Arabidopsis thaliana: one gene and its partners. The protein of the gene in region 1 interacts with the protein of each later gene in a pairwise test. Each region holds a gene or a part of one and is shown in the gene's direction. Other genes may lie near its edges.

Region 1 (4,955 bases):
TGGAGAAAACTACAAAAAACTTTGTTCTTGTGATGGTACTGTCATATGGGAAGCTACAAACAGCGATTTCGTGGCCAGTAAGGTTTAATAACAAGTCAACAACCATACATTTTATAAAACGTTACGTTTTTTAGTGATTGAGAACTTGTTTTGTATCAAAACTTGAGGTTTATATTGAAACAACACAAGCTTTTTGTTTTGTACCAAAACTCTCTGTACTTTCAATTGCGTAACTAATGTTGAGCCCCTATCAGAATTTGATCACTATACTATATATTGTGTGTATCTAATCAATGTTCAACAGGTTTCGTGGTGTAGTTGGTTATCACGTCAGTCTAACACACTGAAGGTCTCCGGTTCGAACCCGGGCGAAGCCATTTTGCTTTTGTAATAGTATAGACCAAATGTTTTAGATAATGTTTCGTTGTCACGCGGGCCCTATCAGCAACTAGCTTTAGTTTCACTGTTTTTGGCCCACTAAAATTGGGTCGCACATGGAAACAAATGGTTCCTACAATATTGTGCCCTACATAATTTATTCTGGTAAACGTAAGAAGTATTTAAATCATATAGAATTTTGAATTCCAAGAACATGTGAAATGTTATGTGCTGCTATAAACTACTCTCAAATAATAAAATCTCACATTGTCAGAGATGAATTATTATATACTATGTTTTTTTCTTACATTAAAAATTGATTGCTTTGTAGTATTAAACTAAATAGTAATGGTTAGACAGAACATCAAACTTCAAACATTTTGGTGTAATTTCTGTTGTCTGGTTTTTTTATTAGGGAGCCATACATACTTTTTTGGTTTTAATTTATGAAGGTCGATACATAATTATTTATTTAGTCTAAACTACTACATAAATAAAAGGATTAGCTTTAGCTAGTGAATTAGTTGATTTGATGATATCATAAGTATACGTAGACATTCATCATTCTAAATGTTTCTTACTAAGTGACGTGCTGTAATCATTTATTATCATTCATTGGATTTTGTCTTACGGCAATTTACAAAAGGAGTCATTTCGTTTTTTTAGGGAATGCAAAGAAGACAGATAAAGTGAGCTGGTCCTTCTAAGTAAAGATAGCTCTTACCTATTACACACACTCGTAGAAAATCATGATTTCTGTGTTGCATCTTTCATATTTGGATTCCTTTTCAGTGTGGGACATTTTTTTTTGTCAACGAACAGTTTCTCTTTTTGTAATTCATTAATATGGCTCTTATCAAATTTATTATCCACCATGTTATTTTTTTCCTTTCGCATGAAGGATATATTTGTCGAATTCACAAAAGTCACCTAACAAAATTATTATCACCTTAGATATTAGCAATCGCATGCATGATCAGTGGGAAAAATGGCAAGTAATGAACGTATAAAATAATTTAATCTATGCAATGCGATAAAGAAAATATTTTGCAGAAAGTAGCAAAGAATAATGCATTCTATTGGCCAAGTCCCCTTTTCTCGAATTATAATATCCCTTTTATAATCTATTTTGTTACCATAATTGGTATTGAACTTTGAATGACATAACAAATCTATTAATATATTTAGATGACTTATATAGTCAATTAGTCATTTCGATGATAAACACAATGCGTGATTAATGCTGATGCAAAAGAAAAATCGCGTTATTTACTTCACAGATCTGATTAGATTTTGGTATTTGTGACAACCTTTATTAAAATGTACGACCTCTATTGTCAAATGTAAATAGTTTCAAATGCTTCTTTGAAATCTAAACATATATAATCAACCCAAAAAAGAGAGAGTCTAAATCTGGTCAACACCGACGCATTTGTTTTGATGTAACCATATATAAATGTGACTTATCCAACTTTGTTAGTTGAGATTTTTTAATTTTTGGTGTGTTCTGGAATGTTAATGTTAGGCTAATGTGTGTTTCAACTATTGCTAATATTGTATTAAGGGACAATTATTAAAAACAAAACTTGAAAAGAGAGGCTAAATAATTAGTGAGTGGGGTTTGTATGTAATTACAAATTAGGCTGCGTCATAGAGGATTGCTTCCATCGGATCTCAAATGTGGACCTACTACCGACACTTCTGACTCATGCTTAGTCTCCGAACACAAGACTTCGAATCTTAAAATTAATTTTCTTAGATTTGTCTTTTTATTTATTTTTCTTTTATTTTTAAATATAACAATTCCCTCCAACTATAAGATCCAACGGCTGATATCATTCTAAACCTTTACAGCTAAATCTGAATCTCCACCGTCCGATTAATCATCTTCCTTCTTCTTCTTCTTCACTCACTCAGATCTCAATCCCCACCGAAAAAGATAAAAACTCACACTTTCTCTCTCTCTCTCTAGAAAAAGAAAGAAAGAAGAAAAACTTATTGTTATTCCCATTTCGCCCCTATCCGAAAAATGGTTGAAGCTCAATCATGGACAACGCGGCGGATGAGCAATCCTAGATTCGACGCCGCCGCAACCGCCGCACCAACCATCGTAGACATCCCCGGAACACCACCACACTCCTCCGCTTCTTCACCACTCAAACCCTTCTTCCTCTCTTCCCCCACCGTATCACCAACAATCCTCACGGCGGCTATAATCGCCGCCTGGTTTGGCTCAAATATAGGAGTCCTCCTCTTAAACAAATACCTTCTCTTCTACTACGGTTTCCGTTACCCAATCTTCCTCACCATGACACACATGTTATCATGCGCCGCCTATAGCTCCGCCGTAATCAATATCGCCGGAATCGTGCCACGTCAGCACATCTTATCTCGCCGTCAGTTTCTAAAGATCCTCTCTTTGTCAGCGATCTTTTGTCTCTCCGTCGTCTGTGGCAACACTTCGCTACGTTATATCCCTGTTTCTTTTAATCAAGCTATTGGAGCTACGACGCCGTTTTTCACCGCCGTGTTCTCTTTTCTCATTACTTGTAAAACAGAGTCCACTGAAGTTTATTTAGCTCTTCTTCCGGTTGTCTCCGGCATCGTTCTTGCTTCTAACTCTGAACCTTCTTTTCATCTTTTTGGTTTCCTTATCTGTGTTGCTTCCACCGCCGGTAGAGCTCTCAAATCCGTCGTCCAGGTATTAATCGGTTTGGTGTATTGAATTTTCCGTTTTAGTACTAAGAGAATCAGAAATTGCGTTCGAATTTCGATTTTATTACAAAACATCACTCTTAAATTTTTCCGAATCCAGGTTTATTATAACAAATCTGGAAGAAATTTAGTTCCAGTTCGAATCCGGTTTTTATTCTTAGAACTGAAATGAGTCCGGTTTAGTTCAGTCTCTGTCTGAATTTCAATCTATAGCATTTAAACAGATAATTCAGATTCTAATCGATCGGTATGATCGAATTGCGTCTATTGGATCTCACTATTGGTTTGGTTGAACCGGATTTTGTGTATTTTGTAGGGGATTATTCTGACGTCGGAATCGGAGAAGCTACATTCTATGAATCTTTTGCTATACATGGCTCCAATGGCGGCTTGTATCTTACTACCATTTACGCTATACATTGAAGGAAACGTTTTAAGAGTTCTAATCGAGAAAGCGAGGACGGATCCATTGATCATCTTCTTGTTAGCCGGGAATGCGACAGTGGCATATTTAGTGAATTTGACGAATTTCTTGGTGACAAAGCATACAAGTGCTCTCACATTGCAGGTTTTGGGGAACGGAAAAGCTGCGGTGGCTGCCGGAGTCTCGGTTTTGATATTTAGGAATCCGGTGACGGTGATGGGAATAGCCGGATTTGGTGTGACGATTATGGGTGTGGTTCTCTATAGCGAAGCTAGGAAGAGATCCAAATTGCTAAACCAGAAGTGAAAAGTGTGAAGAGAAAGATTATTGGATTTAAACCGGTGAAGTAATTTTTACTTTTTAATTTTTACTTCTTTTTTTTCGGTTTAGTTTCTTGATTCTTTGGAATTCTGCTATTGTTTGGAACCGGTTTGGTTCGTTTTGAGAGGGGGAAAATCAATTTAATTGTAAATGGTTGAGATTGGGGAAAAACTATGAAAAGAAAAGTGGAGATATATTTATGTAACAAAAGTGAAAAAGTAGGGAGCATAATTAAAGGAAATAAGATTGTATCTTTATTTTATTTTACTTTCTTTTAGTTTTTTCTTTTCTTGTACTATTATGTTTTATAGTTTGTCTTACCAAAATTATCGAAACATAGTGAGGAAAATAGTCAAAATAATAAATTTCTTTCTACTTTTGATTCGAGTCTTTTCTGTTAGGCGAAATCGCATTTTCATCTGGTGGGTTAAATTTACACCTTTCTTAAGCAACTTGCTCTTTTTTTTGGCAACTTGCTCTTTTTTTTGGCAACTTGCTCATTAATTCACTTGTAACATATTGTTCTAGATCATGTATTCTTATTATGATTTGGAATTATTATTTTGATCTAAAACCTATTGAGCTTAGCATAAGATATCGTTCTTTGTTACAAAAATGTTAGGCACACACACATTTTTATTGATTAATATAATTGGGTAATCAAGCTATTCTCAGCTGAAGCAACCTGACATCTAGGATTTAATCAGTATTAAATGGGTTTGAAAAGATGATGATATGTTAGCTAATGTAGGTTAAGTTTATCTTTAGACTTACTTGTCAAGGTTTGTTAACCTTTTAAGGTGGTAACACTACGTAATAGTTTAATTAGGTTTCTATAAGTAGTTATAGGACTGTTATATTACATGTTTCATTTGATATATGTACACCAATCTAAGTTGTTGTGGTCTCATTCTCATAAATTGCATATAAAAAAGTAAAGCATTTTGGAACGAAATTCATAGAAAAATCTCTTACAAAGAAGAAGAATATATGCCATTCATATTTCTGCACATATGTTTGGTTGCTTTAATCTTTCGACCCCTTTTTCCAAAATGTTAGTATTATATGTTAAGTTTATAAGTTTTAACCAAACAAGAGAGCAAAAAGCAATCGAATT
Region 2 (4,466 bases), on another chromosome or scaffold:
CGCAAATACTGCAGCTGATGTTGCTCTAAGGCTCGTACGTCCTGGAAAAAAGGTATCATCAGTTTTACTCTTACATTAAACTTGAAACTATAGGCTTTTGGTACTATAACTGCCTCTTGAATGATTGTCAAGGTTTTACAAAACCCAGATGATGAACACTTAATAAATGGCTATGGATTATTATCCATATGATGCTTTTTTGTCATAGTTACTCTGATGGGATTTTTCTTATTCTGATTTTTAGTCTGATCCCTCGTTGGATTTACTATGAGATGTTGGAACTTTGTCTAAGGTTTTCCTCTCTTGGTCTTGCACGATGCTTTTTTTTTTTAGCGGACTTCAAATGTAAATTGTTTTGGGAAAAGATTTCTGGATGAAGACCGTAATTGTTATGGATTCGCATCCAAATGAGGCCGTAGTTACTCTGATGTGGGAAAGTTCTTTAAAATAAAGTTTCTTGCTACGAGTTTGTAGTTTCTTGTTTAGTACTACAACATATTGCAATCAAGACATTGATATTCTGTTTTTCTTATCGCAGAACACTGATGTAACTGAAGCTATTCAGAAGGTAGCTGCAGCTTATGACTGCAAAATTGTTGAAGGTGTTCTTTCCCACCAGCTGAAACAGCATGTGATAGATGGAAACAAGGTTGTGCTTAGTGTATCCAGCCCTGAAACAACTGTTGACGAAGTGGAATTTGAAGAGAATGAAGTCTATGCAATAGATATTGTGGCAAGTACTGGTGATGGCAAGGTAATTTCTTTTGTTTATCGCATCCCGATCACTATTGGTGAACCTTTGTCTATTGCCATTGTTCTCACAATCTTTGACTTTGCAGCCAAAGCTATTAGACGAGAAGCAAACAACTATTTACAAGAAAGATGAAAGTGTTAACTATCAGTTGAAGATGAAGGCCTCCAGATTCATAATCAGCGAAATTAAACAGAACTTCCCCCGTATGCCATTCACTGCAAGGTGTCTTTTGTACCTTCTGAAGCATTTTATATTCCTTAAACTATTATCTCACTTGCTAACGTTACCTGAGAGTATTATCAATACAGGTCACTGGAGGAGAAAAGGGCACGGCTTGGACTTGTGGAGTGTGTGAACCATGGTCATTTGCAACCATATCCTGTTCTTTACGAGAAGCCTGGTAAGGATGATGAAAGGGTTTTGAATCTATAAACCTCTTTTATCTGAATCTTGATATCAAGGCTCATGTCGTTTTGGTTTTCTACCAGGGGATTTTGTTGCTCAGATTAAGTTCACAGTTTTGCTGATGCCAAATGGATCAGATAGGATCACTTCACATACACTTCAGGAACTTCCTAAAAAGACCATCGAAGACCCTGAGATCAAAGGGTGGTTAGCTTTGGGCATCAAGAAGAAGAAAGGTGGTGGAAAGAAGAAGAAAGGTAAGAACTTAAAATAAATTTCCAGACTTTTACCTTATATGACGTGATCCACATGTTGATTAAAAAGGTTCAATTTGGTGTTTTGCAGCCCAAAAGGCGGGAGAGAAAGGAGAGGCTTCAACAGAGGCTGAGCCAATGGACGCAAGTAGTAATGCTCAAGAATGAGTAGGAAGATTTGTCTTTGTTTCTTTTAAAGAATTTTTGAAACTTGAGGTACCTCTTTCGTTGTATGTTTGGGTTTCAAGAGAGTCTCTTCTTAAACAAAAAAAAACAAACAATAGTTTACCACCTTTGTGCATATTTTTGCACAAAGCACTTTTCATCATCATTTCTTTGCTTGTCCTAATCTTATCTCATTCTCTAATCAAAAATACTTATCTGGTTTCAGGCTATAACAATAACTCTGTTTAGAAACACTTGTTACCAACAAACTACTCTTTGAATGTGTTTACGTGGTAAGGATTTGATCCCACAGAAGAGAAATATTTGTGACAGAAGAAAAAAACTCAGCTCTTCAATAATCGAAGCTTATACAGATTTTTGGATTGGTTGATTTTGAGATTGTAACGAATAGTAATCAGAATTTCACTTAAGAAATTGTGATTGAACCCTCTAAACCACAGAGAGGGTTCTTGACGTGGTCCATAGTTCTTCAGTGGGGCGGCTTGTGGCTTCTTTTTCATTTTTCCAGAAAACCCCATAAACCTCTCGCTCTCGGGAATTTGATTGATTCCCACGAGGAAAAATCAATCTTCCCGGAAAATGGCAGCTAGGTTATTGTTCCGTCGAAGTTCTCAAATCCTCCGATCAATTCAACGAAATCCTCAAATCTCATCGTCATTCGAATCACCACCTTGCCCGATTTTTCACTCATTGACCACCGCCTCACCAGATCCATCGCGATTATCATCCTTAACCTTCCTCCGATCTCTCTCCATCGCTCGTCGCGGTCCAACACGTCCTAAGAAAATCGATATCGGAGCCAAAGCGCGTCAGATGCAGAATCGCCGTTTATGGACCTACGCGCTAACCTTCAGCTGCATCGCCGGATTCGTAGTTATCGTCCTTAACCAATTTCAGGATCAGCTTGTCTTCTACCTAACGCCATCAGACGCTATGGAGAAATTCGCAGAGAATCCAACAAAGAACAAATTCAGACTCGGTGGTTTGGTTCTAGAAGGTAGCGTTGCGCAGCCGGCGGCGTCACAGGAGATGGAGTTTGTGATCACTGATCTGATCACTGATATTTTGGTTAGGTATAAAGGATCTTTGCCGGATCTGTTTAGGGAAGGTCATTCAGTTGTGGTTGAAGGATTCATTAAGCCGTATACAGATGAAGTAAGGAAGGAAGTTTCTACAAAACCTATTTCGAAGAAAGCTAGGAACCTCGATTGTTTCTTCTCGGCGACTGAAGTTTTGGCTAAGCATGATGAGAAGTATATGCCACAGGAAGTTGCGGCGGCGATTGAGAAGAATAAGAAAATTATTGAAGCGGCGGCGACTGAACAAGCTGCTGAAGTTGCGGCTTCTTAGATTGGTATAAACTTCATTCTTTTTAAGTTAATCAAAATTTTCCCCAAGTTCGAGCTTTTGGTGAGTATTGTTCATCTTATAAGGTTATATTTGATTATAGTTTCTGGAAAAGAGTAGGAAGATTGGAATGTTATATTCCTGGAAAACAGAGATTTGATTTTTGAGTCTATTTGAGAATTAAGTGGAGAAATGTGATACACTATACAATAGCTTTGTTTGATTCCACAAAGCTATAAGCTAATCTACTTTCTTGTTGTGTTGATCAAATAAAGAACACTTTGACGAGGGATCAAATATGCTGCTTGATTCATTGTGTTGTTGGATGTTTTGTTTGTTGTTGATGTGCACACAGATTAGAGAAGCTATGTTTTGTTGCTGCACACAGATTAGATTGATCTAGTGAATCTTATTAGCTTCATCAGGTCGTGGGTATATAATTGTAAACGTATCACCAAAGTTGTAGCTTGTGTGACCTTATTCTTATCATGACTAGGTACTATAGCCAAAAGAGTTGAACATACAGGTCTTTCAGAGCTTCCTCTTAGTTGTTCTGGAGGTTCCAAGCTCTTTCTTTGTTGTTTTATAAATATGGGTTGAGCTTGTTGACAATCTTGAAGATGGTCATGCATTCCTTTTATGCATCTTATGTTTCAACTAGGCAATTCTGGCCCTGGAGATTTCAAGTTTGTACTTTCTGAGTCGATTAGGTGCCTAGTTTTTGCCTCTAGAATCATGGCATTGGCTTCTGTTTTGGCACTTCTCTTAGGCTTGTTGGTTGATAACCAACTACTAGTCTACTAATGTAGCTGTAGTTTGAAGTGTTCCGCAGTTACGCTATTGCTTTTGCTTTTTTTAAGTGCATCTTTATATATGCATCAGTCTCTCATTGTATAGCAAATTTATCGTGGGTGGTATATGATTCAGTCAACAAAAACTGACTATCAAGTATGGAACGAGTGGTATATGATTGAGTCATCAAAAATACTGACTATCAAGTATGGAACAAGAGCATTACGATATTTGTCACTACTATATTCGATTGCTATTGTGTGCTTGGTCCATTTTGAATATGGGACAAATCACCATTACTATACTTGCTGCCCTATACTAACTAGATTATTCCATATTCCTCGTAGATAGTTTTTGTTTTTTGGTTCAGAGAAAGTTCAGATTTTAGGCCTATAAGTTCTTTTGGTTGGGGACCATATCAAGTTAAATCTCTCACTATATGCATTGTGGCGGTTCGGCCGACCTGTCTAAAATTGGGCTTGTTCAAATCCTGCCTCAAATCCTGCCAAAGCGTGAGTTATATACATATACATTGACACTGAATCATTCCATCCAGGGCCGGTTGGCTGGATCCAAAATCAGTCGTTACCTATTTTTGGCAATCTTAAACTTATTGATTTTTTTTTTCTGACGTTTCACAAATCATCATCATATGTGAAAAACCAAAACATCTATATTAAGAAGAAAAAAAATATTGTTACAATTTCTGAAAATATTTGGTTCATTTA
Region 3 (5,149 bases), on another chromosome or scaffold:
AGATTCTTACCTTGATTACATTGTCGGAAAATCAGAGGAGATTCGTCGGAGAAACGAGGAGAGACTGCTTTACACGAACTCAAGAGGTGTTTCGCTCGACGCGAGGAGCCATCCATGGGATTCTGTAAGATTCAAGCATCCAAGCACGTTCGATACTCTGGCTATGGATCCTGAGAAGAAGAAGCGAATCATGGAGGATCTAAGGGAGTTTGCGAACGGACAAGGGTTTTATCAGAAAACGGGAAGAGCTTGGAAACGAGGTTACTTGTTGTATGGACCACCTGGAACTGGCAAATCGAGTTTGATTGCTGCAATGGCGAATTACCTTGGTTACGATATTTACGATCTTGAACTCACTGAGGTTCAGAACAACTCTGAATTGAGGAAGCTGTTGATGAAGACTAGCTCTAAGTCTATCATTGTCATCGAAGACATTGATTGTTCTATCAGTTTGACGAAACGAGGAAAGAACAAAAAGAAGAATGGGAGCTATGAATATGATCCAGGTTTGACAAACGGGTCGGGTTTGGAGGAACCGGGAAGCTCGGTGACTCTGTCGGGGCTATTGAACTTCACAGATGGGCTTTGGTCTTGTTGTGGGAGTGAGAAGATATTTGTGTTCACGACAAATCATATAGAGAAGTTAGATTCTGCTCTGATGAGAAGTGGGAGGATGGATATGCATGTTCACATGGGTTTTTGTAAGTTTCCGGCTTTGAAGATTCTGTTGAAGAATTATCTGAGGCTTGAGGAAGAAGATATGGATAGTGTTGTTTTGAAGGAGATGGAAGAATGTGTGGAGGAAGCAGAGATTACTCCGGCTGATGTTAGTGAAGTGTTGATTAGGAATAGGAGTGATGCGGAGAAGGCGGTGAGGGAGATTGTGAGTGTGTTGAAGGAGAGAGTTGTGAAGAGAAGGAAGAGTGTTGGATTGAAGAAGAAGAAACAGGAAGGTCAAGAAGAAGAAGAAGAAGCAGAGGAAGAACAAGAGAAGAGAGCTTTGGATAGTCCTAATAGAAGAAACAGAGAGGTTTGTGGGTTTCGAGAGGAGGAAGAAGAAGAAGATGAGAAGGAGAAGTGAATGATAAGAGACTGTTTATCCTAGGATCATCATCTAATGGTGGTTCTTGTGTGTTTTTAATTATCCGTTTTGTTTAGTCAAAATTATTATAATATATGATTAGTTACCATATAATATAACGTTATCCATTTTGGTTTACTCTTAAGTCAAAAGTAGGCACTGTCCAAAGTTAACCTTCTGAGATTTGCTACATGAGAGTTGAGACTAAACTGGCTTTTGTATCTACTAATGCTGCAGAAATTGCCACTTTGTTGTTGTATATGTTGTCTCAAATTTTCGTGTCGGTTACGTTTGTTTTGAAGAGATAAAAGAGAATTGGCGTTTGGACTTTGGGTGTTGTAAATTGGTTAGTGTCACACCCTTTTTTATACAGGTTATATGTGAAACCTGTAAATTTCAAAATTTATAGTTCAAGAAAACAATTTACTCGAGAAGTGACATTTAAAGAATCATCACATCAAACACTTGACTTCAAACTAGAAGTGACCTGAAAAATCCATCCGTTCTTTTTTTTTTTCTAAATATAATATTGACCGCTGATTTTTGACATATTGTAGTAGTGAAGCCCAATCCTACCCAAAGAGATTTGCATCAGAAAAAAGTTGTTTTATATTATGGGCCCAATCTTTTTGATCAAAAAAAATATATATATATATTATGGGCCCAATCTCTAGAATCTACCACCGGTTAATGTCTAAATAAGAACAAAAACAGGTCTTGGTAACTAATTAAAACTGAAAACACCAAAATCAAGGTTGGGATTTGTTGAAGAAGGTGGTATTTCACCATATCACAACAACTAATTAATTAAATTTATTTAACAAAACATGTCTCTCCAAAACTGAAAACACCAAAACATGTTTTCATTTTATGAATTTCAATTTAACTAGTTAAAATTTTGATATCACATGCGCTACACATGCCACCTCAATTTGTCCTGCTCCTACTGTCTATTACTAAACTAAAAGTTAAAATTAGCGTTGAGTTTTTATTGAATTTATTTACTCATTAGCATTTGACTTGTATAGAGAGTATTAAAATAAAGAATAATAATAATAATATAATGCGGTTGGCGAACAATTGATGTTGCGGCAAACCGGTAGGCCCAACAACAACACGGACATTCTTGATGTTTTTCTTTGACAAGCGGTAATCTCCTGCAGCTAAGACCATCTTACTTTAAATTATTTCCCAATTACAATAAAACACGTGTGAAATATGGTCAATTTAGTTCAGAGAGGCCTCTTTATTAAAATCTTCCATTAACGTTTAAAGTGAAGAAAGCAAAGAAATATCGAAGAATTTAAGGAATAAAAAATAAAAACAGAAAGCTGGAGGAAGAAAAAATAAAAATTCCTTCTTTCCTCCTGAAGGCAAAAAAGGAAGAGAAGAGAAGAGAAGAGAAGGAAGCAGAATCTAATTTTGGATTATAATCGGAGAGAGAATCTATTCCGACGAATCTTTTCGGGTTGATTTTTTGGTCTTTAATTTGAAGGGTTTAGGTGTGGTTTCGAAGATGATGGTAGCGAATAGTTTCGATCTATGGCAAAAGGATGTTTTTTTCTCTGCAGCTGAGGAGGTTCAAGAATCTGCTGATATGTATGTGTTTTTTGATTCTCTGTTTGTTTAATTGACTCATGTTGCTTGTGATGGTGGAATTCGGAATTTCAATTGAAAAATAGGGTATTTCGATTGTTTAGGGGACTAATTGGCTCTAGAATGGTCTAAGTGAGAACCTTTGTGTTTTGTGAAGGAATTGAGTTATCAAATTTGAAATTTTGTTTCTTATTTGTGTTGTATTTCCAGAATGGAATCTGCGTATAGGTTGTGGTTTAAAGAGAAGAGAGACGGTCGAGTATCCGTAGAATCAGACGAGCTCTGCAAAGAACTCCAAGCTGCTTTGAGCACTGCTAAATGGCAGGTATGAAACAATCAATGGTCCTTTGATCATTCCCTTTTTTTTTCATGGTTACTCATGAGTGTGTTAGTGATATTGGTTATATTGTTGTGACTTGAATCAGTTGGAAGAGTTTGAGAGGGCAGTGAGCTTAAGCCATGGAAATTGTCGAGATGACACTACCTTAACTAGGCATAAACAGTTTGTTACCGCTATTGAAAACCAGATTTATCAAGTGGAATCTACTCTGCTAGAGTCGTTAAGCGAGAATGGGAAACAACCTTTGCGTTGGGTGGATCTTAACAAAGAAGAGCGTGATGATCTCGCCATGTTTCTATCTGGATCTTCTCAGACGTCAGAGAGTTTAAACAGTGATAGCATCAACTTGAGAGATTCCTCAACGAGTTCTGTAGCTGAGAATCCACGTGGGATCAATGGCAGAAGAGAGGGTAGATGTTATGGCGACAGTCCTGATTGTGTGATAGACATTGACGACATAGGAAGTCCGGAAAGTGCAGATAAAAAAGGCGGTACAAGAAGAACATGGAGTTCACCAAATGTACCAAATATCAGTGCGTTGAGGATTAATGTCCCTGTTAATGCAAAAGAAGAAGAGAGGGAGAAGTTCCTATCACATATTGAAGACACTCCTAAAGAGAAAGGAGCTAAACCTATGTTTTGGCTGCAGAGATGTCGTGATTATAACCAGGTAAGCTTCTGCAGTTTGGATCATCTCTACACTATTAGAAAGGATCATAAGTCTTAGTTGTTTATCATTTTGCAGCTCTTTGACAGAGTCAAGGTTTATCAAAGACGATTTCGCGTTCCATTGAGCCGCCCTATTAAGCTCATTCTTTCCTTAACGCTAATCTTGATTCTTCTATGTGAGTCCTTCTCTTGGTTCTCATGAGTTATGTCACACCACTGTTCCATGACAGTCTCTACTCTCTATAACTGAATCAAATTCCTTGTTTATACCCTTGCAGTATTCATCTTGAGAACTTAAAACCGCGGTTTCAGAAACTCTCAAGAAACATTGACAGGTAAATGATATTTTAGATTCTAAATCAGAACTCCAAGTTTTCTAAAACAATCTTTAAACATTACATCCTTTTCGTGTATCTTGCAGGTTTTTTCACAGATTCTTGCGTATTGGGTTACACACTCGTTAGATGCTACATGATTCAACATCCTTCGAGGGAAGGAGGAGAGATTAAAAGACTTTGTCAAGATTCAAATGAAGGACAAAGCCTGATTTATTACTCTCTCTTAATCCTCAGGGAACATATAGGAACCTGTAAATTTGTAAGATCAATTTGTAAAACTTGAAGCTACGACGTTTCGTTAAACTTTAGACGTGTACCTAAAGGAAACCAATGCGTGTTTGTGCTCAATGATATCTCCAGTGTTTGTTTGTCTCTCAGATATTTGTTTTGGAACAAAACATTCTTTGTCCTCTTTCACTTACTTGGCAAGTCATTTGTTCCAATCATTGTCTTACTTTCTTTTAAAATGCGCATTATAGTTGACGTCTCAATTTCTTTCATCACTAATAGTGTCACAGCCCAAAAGTACCAATTTAGGTCAATTCTAAGCTAAGTAAAAAATCTTAATATTAGGTCGTATCATATAGACATATGATAATGGTGAAAAAGATTTATGAAGAAAGAAAAATGTCTAATAATTTTCGAATCTAGAAGTCTCTGGACAAAAGAAAGGTGCATGTCACAGTCTCTCAAGATGGAATTTGATCATACCATTTATCAACCATGAACTTCGAAGCACAGATAAATGCTAAAAAATGATACAACTTCCTGTCTAAATCATTAAAAATCGACTAGTCCCATTGGGAAAAGTAAGGTAATAAATTTTTCTCATATCCTTCTCGTGCTTCTTTTGATCATCATTCATTCCTCACCTAACCAATTCAATTTCAAAAACAATTTTATTAAAATATATATTGAAATATTCTAAATGAGCTGAAATACAAAATAACGAAAAAATCAAAGAAAAAGAAAAAGGTGTGAATAAGATGTGTTATGGTCCAAACTATTATCGATTCACCAAATAAATTACAATTTCGACATTCTTTCACAAAATAAATTAACAATATCGATATTTCTTATACTAAATGACGATCCTATCCTTCTTAATCAACGGCAGAGCAAGTA
Region 4 (6,592 bases), on another chromosome or scaffold:
ATGCAACACCGTTAATGGTGGCTAATGCTGGGAGCAGCGATCGTCCTGCGATTTCTAGCTTAAATAGTCCTCCTTTCCTTGCTGTTGAGCTTTGCAGGGAAACTATGGTACATAAGTTGTTAAGGAGTTTGTTAGTATAGATGAGTGAAGATCACATTGTTAAAGATTGTTTTTATGGATGCAGGGTGATCATCCTTGTGACAGGCGAAGAAGCGTCACTGAGTACAAGGCTCTCTTTCCCGCTATTGATTTCTCAATTGTAAGAAAAACATCTTATATGGTTAATATATATCTCTGTGGAAATGTTGGCAAGTTGCTTATGCTTTGACCTCTATGGTTTTAGATTGAAACCGACAATGATGTTCTGTGGAAGCCGAGTCCAAGAGAGAGCCTTGAAGAAGTTGCAGCCAGAGGTGTAGAGTTCATCAAATGGTGAGTTTCATTTTTGTTACTTATTTCCACATGGAGATATATGTAAACATATGTATAGCTGAATCTCTCTACTGCCATTTGCTTTGTGAAGGATATGGACAAGGAAAGAGAAGGAGATCGCAATTGTATCTCACAGTGGCTTCTTGCACGGTCTCTTGAGTTCTTTCGGGAAGGATTGTTGCGATGACCTAAAGAAAGAGTTGTCTATACAGTAAGAGCTTAAACAAAAACTTGATGTCTACAAGCACCAACAATTTGTATAACTTGAAACTGTTTAACTAATCAACATCTTTAACTTTGTTCAGTTTGAGCAACTGTGAGCTTCGCTCAATGGTTATCGTGGATCGAGGGTAAGCAATAATTACAATAAGTTTTGACAGAATATAAATATAATTTGAGAGTGTGTTGGATTATTTATTATGGTGTTGGGTGTGTAGGAACCTGGGGACTGACTCTGCAGAGACCACAAACTATCCTGGGAAGGTTCCTGAAGGACTTGATAATCCTAGTGGCTAAATGGCTGAAGAGTAAGAGAGAGAATTCTGAGATAGTTTTTCTTTCTAAAATAAATAAATTACATGATGTTTCCATTGGACTAGAATCTGGCATTTTCAGTTATTTGATGAACATTAGTGTTGGTATGTAGCCATGTAGGTTGACTCTGCTGCTACATGAATTTATTGTATGATTGTTATTATCCAAAATTTAGCGGTAGCTTTAATATTTCTGCTCCAATTCTCATTTTAGCTGTGATTATACAATTGTGGAAATAATAGCATTACAAGTAGAGGAACTGGTAGATGCAACTAAATTATAAGTGTGAATCTTAGATGAGTAGATTTATCTCTATCAACATGAGAACCAGCAGAAACTTAAAACATTATTTATGTAAGATCAACTTCATATTTTATGGCAGCTGTGTTGAATTTTCTTATGGCCAAGCATTTTAATAAAACAAAGAGAAAATTCCAAAAATTACACTCAGCTTTTCTTATAGTACTAGGTTTTATCTTTTGGTGTTGAGATTTTTTATGAAAATAGAAAATGTTTTAAGTGTTTTTATAGAAGTAGATCAAAGTTTAATGCTCTTCGTACGTTCTATGTATTTGGACTTTAATATAATCGATAATCGTATTCAGATTCTTTATAGAAATTACGCTCTCTCCAAACTATTGGAGAAAGCTTTTACCATTAGGAATTCGAAATTTTTTGTTCCCCAATTTTGAACATATGATAAGATCTTTTAAAGAACACTCGACAATGTAAAATTTAAAGTAGGTCTAGCTTCTTATCCGTTTAAGAGAACGATTTTTTTTTTTAAATGATATGATTCACGGTTTGTAAAGTTATCTATTGGAAAATAAAAAAACTGTAAGTACAATACTGTGATGTCAAAAAGAAAAAAAAAGTACACCCAAACTAAATTTGTACCACGTGCGAGACAAATTGTAGTCTGCGATCTTACTCACTACCCGACAATGACATGCCCCATGCCTTAGTTCTTGTAAGAAAAAAGTGATATCCTATATACTTCACTAATTATTGGTAAAATTATGCAAAACTTTCAGTGCTAAAAGTTTGATTTATACTGTACTAGTTGTTATTTCAACGTAGACATACCAAAATGTTTATTCAAGAAAGCCTATATACTAGCAAAAGTAAAAAAGAATGTGACATCTTTGATGAACCAATGTGAAAAGTCAACATAATAAAACTTGAGTTTTCAGAACAAATTTAGTTGTCCATTGTTTCGATCTGTTAATCAAGACCATAAATTAACTCTTAACTATATGCATCTAATAATAATATTTTGTAGTTAGCTAAGTTAAGCACATCCAACTCTTAAAAAAAGCTAGTATAACGTTAGGCTTATAATCATTCTCTTAATAATAAGTTATCCTAAACAAATTATTGCAATTTTTTATTCTCCCTACTTGCACTAAGTATCATTACACCAGTAAAAGATGATGATCCCTTAAATTAATACTAATTAAACAAGCAATTAAGGAATGAAGAAGGTGAGACGAAACCGCGTAAAAGACCTTTCTTCTTTGCACCATCCTCTCTCCTTCATCATTTCACAAATCCACAAAAGAATCAATCTTTTTAACACTCTCTAATGATTCAACGAATCCAATTACCCAACCAGAAACAGCAACACATATAGAGATATATACTATTAAACAATAACATAACAAAGAAACCATTTTTTCTCTTTTGTTATTGACTTAAACAAAAACTATCAACGAATAATTATCCTTTTTTGAGTTTTTCCCATTTCTTCTTCGTCTCCATTTCATCGTCTTCTCGCTGTTCTGCTATATTCCGGTACTAGATCCTCTGTTTTCTCATGTTTCTTTTATTACCAAATGATTTCTTCATTTATTGTTGTGTCTTTGATTCTTTTTTGGGATCTATAATGATCGATGAACATTTAAAGCTACGACTTTTCAGGAGCTCTTGTCTTTTTTTCTTTAATCTTTGATTATGTTACAAAACAATTATGTTTTTTGAAGCTTGATCTGATGTGGGTTCTTTGATTTCGTTCCAAAGTTTGATACTTTTTTGGCTTCTCTTTATCTGATTTTTTTTGTGTATGTTTGTTCATGAAACAGTTTCGTTGGATGAGGAGAAGAAGAAAGTGAAAAAAGTTGTGAAATAGAGAGAGTTTGTTTCATGGGCAATTCATGTCGTGGTTCTTTTAAGGACAAAATCTACGAGGGCAATCATAGTAGGCCCGAGGAGAATTCCAAATCCACCACCACTACTGTTTCCTCTGTTCATTCTCCTACTACAGACCAAGATTTCTCCAAACAGAACACCAATCCAGCTCTTGTGATTCCTGTTAAAGAACCCATTATGCGGCGTAACGTTGACAATCAATCTTACTATGTTCTTGGTCACAAGACTCCTAACATTCGTGATCTTTACACGTTGAGTCGTAAGTTAGGACAAGGACAATTCGGGACAACGTATTTGTGTACTGATATTGCCACAGGTGTTGACTATGCTTGTAAGTCTATATCCAAGAGGAAATTGATATCTAAAGAAGATGTTGAGGATGTTAGGAGGGAGATTCAGATTATGCATCATTTAGCTGGTCACAAGAATATTGTTACTATTAAAGGAGCTTATGAGGATCCTTTGTATGTTCACATTGTGATGGAGCTTTGTGCTGGTGGTGAGTTGTTTGATAGGATTATTCATAGAGGTCATTACAGCGAGAGGAAAGCTGCTGAGTTGACCAAGATCATTGTCGGTGTTGTTGAGGCGTGTCATTCTCTTGGTGTTATGCATAGAGATTTAAAGCCTGAGAATTTCTTGTTGGTTAATAAGGATGATGATTTCTCTCTTAAGGCCATTGATTTTGGTCTCTCTGTTTTCTTCAAACCAGGTAAGCGTTAGTTGCGAGTTTCTCATTGTTCTGAATCTATTTAAGTACCATGATGTGTTTTGTAGTATACATTACTGTGACTTTCTATTCATCAAATGAGTAAGGGAATGTAAATGTTTCAGCTTTGCATAATGTGTAGTCTTACTCTAATATCAGGCCAAATATTCAAGGATGTTGTTGGAAGTCCATACTATGTTGCTCCTGAGGTTCTTCTAAAACATTATGGTCCAGAAGCTGATGTGTGGACTGCTGGTGTTATACTCTATATCTTACTAAGTGGTGTCCCGCCTTTCTGGGCAGGTATGCGGGCGATATAGCTGTTTCAATGCGTTCTCTTAATTAGTGCCATTGACAAGGTTTCCTGAAGTTTGGTTTTGTGTTTTTGAAATCAGAAACACAGCAAGGAATATTTGATGCTGTGTTGAAGGGATATATTGACTTTGATACAGACCCGTGGCCTGTCATATCCGACAGTGCTAAAGATCTGATCCGGAAGATGTTATGCTCTAGTCCTTCTGAACGTTTGACTGCTCATGAAGTCTTGCGTACGTAATCAATTACACTTAAATAAATGGTTACATTTGGCAGCCACACAACATTAGACTATATCTCTTGTATGTATCTCTTTTTTTTTCAGGTCATCCATGGATCTGTGAGAATGGAGTTGCACCGGATAGAGCACTTGACCCGGCTGTTTTGTCTCGTCTAAAACAGTTTTCTGCAATGAATAAATTAAAGAAGATGGCTTTAAAGGTCAGTTTGTAGTTATACTCAATCTTCTATTGTCTCTGCATCACATTCGTTTGAGATATGTTTACTCATATTAGTGATTATGGAATGATCAGGTGATAGCTGAGAGCCTCTCAGAAGAAGAGATTGCGGGTTTAAGAGCAATGTTTGAGGCAATGGATACTGATAACAGCGGTGCAATCACTTTTGATGAACTCAAAGCTGGCTTGAGAAGATATGGATCAACCTTGAAAGACACCGAGATCCGAGATCTTATGGAAGCGGTAACAATGCATCCTTTTGAGATATGCACACTAGTTCATTTCGCTATATAGATGACAATAACCATACTCTCTGTGTTGTATCTTAGGCTGATGTGGACAACAGCGGTACAATAGATTACAGCGAGTTTATTGCAGCGACGATCCATCTGAATAAACTAGAGAGAGAAGAGCATCTTGTCTCTGCATTTCAGTACTTTGACAAAGATGGAAGTGGTTACATCACCATTGATGAGCTGCAACAATCTTGCATTGAACATGGGATGACCGATGTTTTTCTTGAAGACATAATCAAAGAAGTAGATCAAGACAACGTAAGCTTTGCCTCTTGACATGATTCTTCCACTCTTCACCATTGGTGTTTGCTAATAAAGTTTTGGTTTTTGTTTCTTACAGGATGGACGGATTGATTACGAAGAATTTGTTGCGATGATGCAAAAGGGAAATGCTGGTGTAGGGAGAAGAACAATGAAAAATAGTCTAAACATCAGCATGAGAGATGTGTAGGCACATACACACATCTTTAAATCGTCTATTCGGTGAGGATGCAAATGTTTCCATGGAATCAACATTTGCAATGTTTAATCACAGAGGAGGAAGAGAAACCAGATTCATAGCTGCAGCGAACCAGCTAAATCGTTGAAGGTTTGAGTTAAAAATGTTAAAAACTACTGTATGATTAAAAAATGGTGAAAGATAAAAAAAAAGTGTTAAGTTCTGTTCATCAGTAGCTGTGAGGACTATTTCTATTTTCTCTCTCTCTGTTTTGTTTGTTTGTAACAACTGTTTAAGTTTGGTTTTTATTTCATCTCCATCGTCGAAAGCTTTGACCCTTTTTGGGTTTTTGAAAGATCAAATCATCTTCCAATATAGTACAAATGTGATATACAAGTTGTGTGACAATCTTCCACCTTTTAGTTGTTGTTGCTGTTGTTAGTACACAAACGCATACTCTTCACTTTGGTTTGTTAAACTTTTTAGCTCGGCTTTGGTCGTCTTTTCTCACATGCATACTTCCAAATTGGAGTCATAGCGACAACATTAATACAACTAGTCAACTACTATGTTACAAGTTTCTGTCCACTAATTTCTTTCTCTAATTACATCTGAATCTGTAAGTACATAAACATGTATGTACATATGAACACATGAGTGTGTGTATATACACAAAAATTTATGTAATAAAAGAGCAATAATTGATGTAAAATGTGGAATACTGTATGATGATAGCTACTAAGTCTCAATCATGTAATCAAAGTGATGTCTTAGAACCAAACTTAAGGTTGTTCGAAACAATCAATCATACATTGGTCCCAATGTGGTGGATTGGAACATGACAGGGAAACCATGTGCTCCCACTTATTTATATATATGCATCGTATGTTCGTATGTATTAATGTATATACATTTCACACCACATGCAGTGAGTTATTTATGTCACCTTTTATTTAGTTTTCCGAAAAATGGTGAAATAGATTGGTCAAATTTCGTCTACAAAGTAAATTAAAAAAGATCATTAAATCAGTCGTTACGAGAAAATAAAGCACATCCTCATATATCAAAGATTAAAAATATAATAAAACTAAACAATACATGTACGCACACGTAGAAGATTAGGGTTTTGAGTTATGCCGCCTCCTACCATCTATATAAATAAATCTAGCGTCTCTAATATCTTCATAAACCTCTCAAACTTTGCTGAGCTTGATTATTCCATAGATGTTTGGTTCTTGATTCTCTATATCCTACTCGTTTG

The links.
Region 2: the proteins of AT1G12500 (region 1) and G1 interact in a protein complementation assay, tested with the Arabidopsis thaliana proteins (one large-scale study listed by BioGRID).
Region 3: the proteins of AT1G12500 (region 1) and AT4G30240 interact in a protein complementation assay, tested with the Arabidopsis thaliana proteins (one large-scale study listed by BioGRID).
Region 4: the proteins of AT1G12500 (region 1) and CPK6 interact in a protein complementation assay, tested with the Arabidopsis thaliana proteins (one large-scale study listed by BioGRID).

What each region holds. Positions count from the first base shown.
Region 1 is NC_003070.9:4,262,410-4,267,364, reverse strand, and holds AT1G12500 (Nucleotide-sugar transporter family protein), read left to right. Parts: upstream 1-2,208; 5' UTR 2,209-2,407; coding exon 2,408-3,079; intron 3,080-3,409; coding exon 3,410-3,823; 3' UTR 3,824-4,215; downstream 4,216-4,955. Other genes in the region: CCS (copper chaperone for SOD1), read left to right, coding at 1-88.
Region 2 is NC_003074.8:19,208,376-19,212,841, reverse strand, and holds G1 (transmembrane protein G1P-related 1), read left to right. Parts: upstream 1-1,992; 5' UTR 1,993-2,178; coding exon 2,179-2,949; 3' UTR 2,950-3,327; downstream 3,328-4,466. Other genes in the region: ATG2 (metallopeptidase M24 family protein), read left to right, coding at 1-52, 539-754, 840-976, 1,063-1,154, 1,216-1,416, 1,505-1,581. UniProt on the Arabidopsis thaliana protein: Heme-binding chaperone that may be involved in cytochrome c maturation in mitochondria.
Region 3 is NC_003075.7:14,807,194-14,812,342, reverse strand, and holds AT4G30240 (Syntaxin/t-SNARE family protein), read left to right. Parts: upstream 1-2,267; 5' UTR 2,268-2,597; coding exon 2,598-2,680; intron 2,681-2,887; coding exon 2,888-3,002; intron 3,003-3,102; coding exon 3,103-3,687; intron 3,688-3,762; coding exon 3,763-3,862; intron 3,863-3,964; coding exon 3,965-3,984; 3' UTR 3,985-4,021; intron 4,022-4,107; 3' UTR 4,108-4,454; downstream 4,455-5,149. Other genes in the region: AT4G30250 (P-loop containing nucleoside triphosphate hydrolases superfamily protein), read left to right, coding at 1-1,081.
Region 4 is NC_003071.7:7,513,897-7,520,488, forward strand, and holds CPK6 (Calcium-dependent protein kinase family protein), read left to right. Parts: upstream 1-2,433; 5' UTR 2,434-2,760; exon of another isoform or gene 2,761-2,959; intron 2,960-3,047; 5' UTR 3,048-3,108; coding exon 3,109-3,826; intron 3,827-3,982; coding exon 3,983-4,126; intron 4,127-4,218; coding exon 4,219-4,371; intron 4,372-4,463; coding exon 4,464-4,579; intron 4,580-4,671; coding exon 4,672-4,839; intron 4,840-4,925; coding exon 4,926-5,150; intron 5,151-5,232; coding exon 5,233-5,343; 3' UTR 5,344-5,766; downstream 5,767-6,592. Other genes in the region: AT2G17280 (Phosphoglycerate mutase family protein), read left to right, coding at 1-107, 185-259, 344-432, 524-643, 738-782, 870-948. UniProt on the Arabidopsis thaliana protein: May play a role in signal transduction pathways that involve calcium as a second messenger. Functions in abscisic acid (ABA) regulation of guard cell S-type anion- and Ca(2+)-permeable channels and stomatal closure. Phosphorylates FD.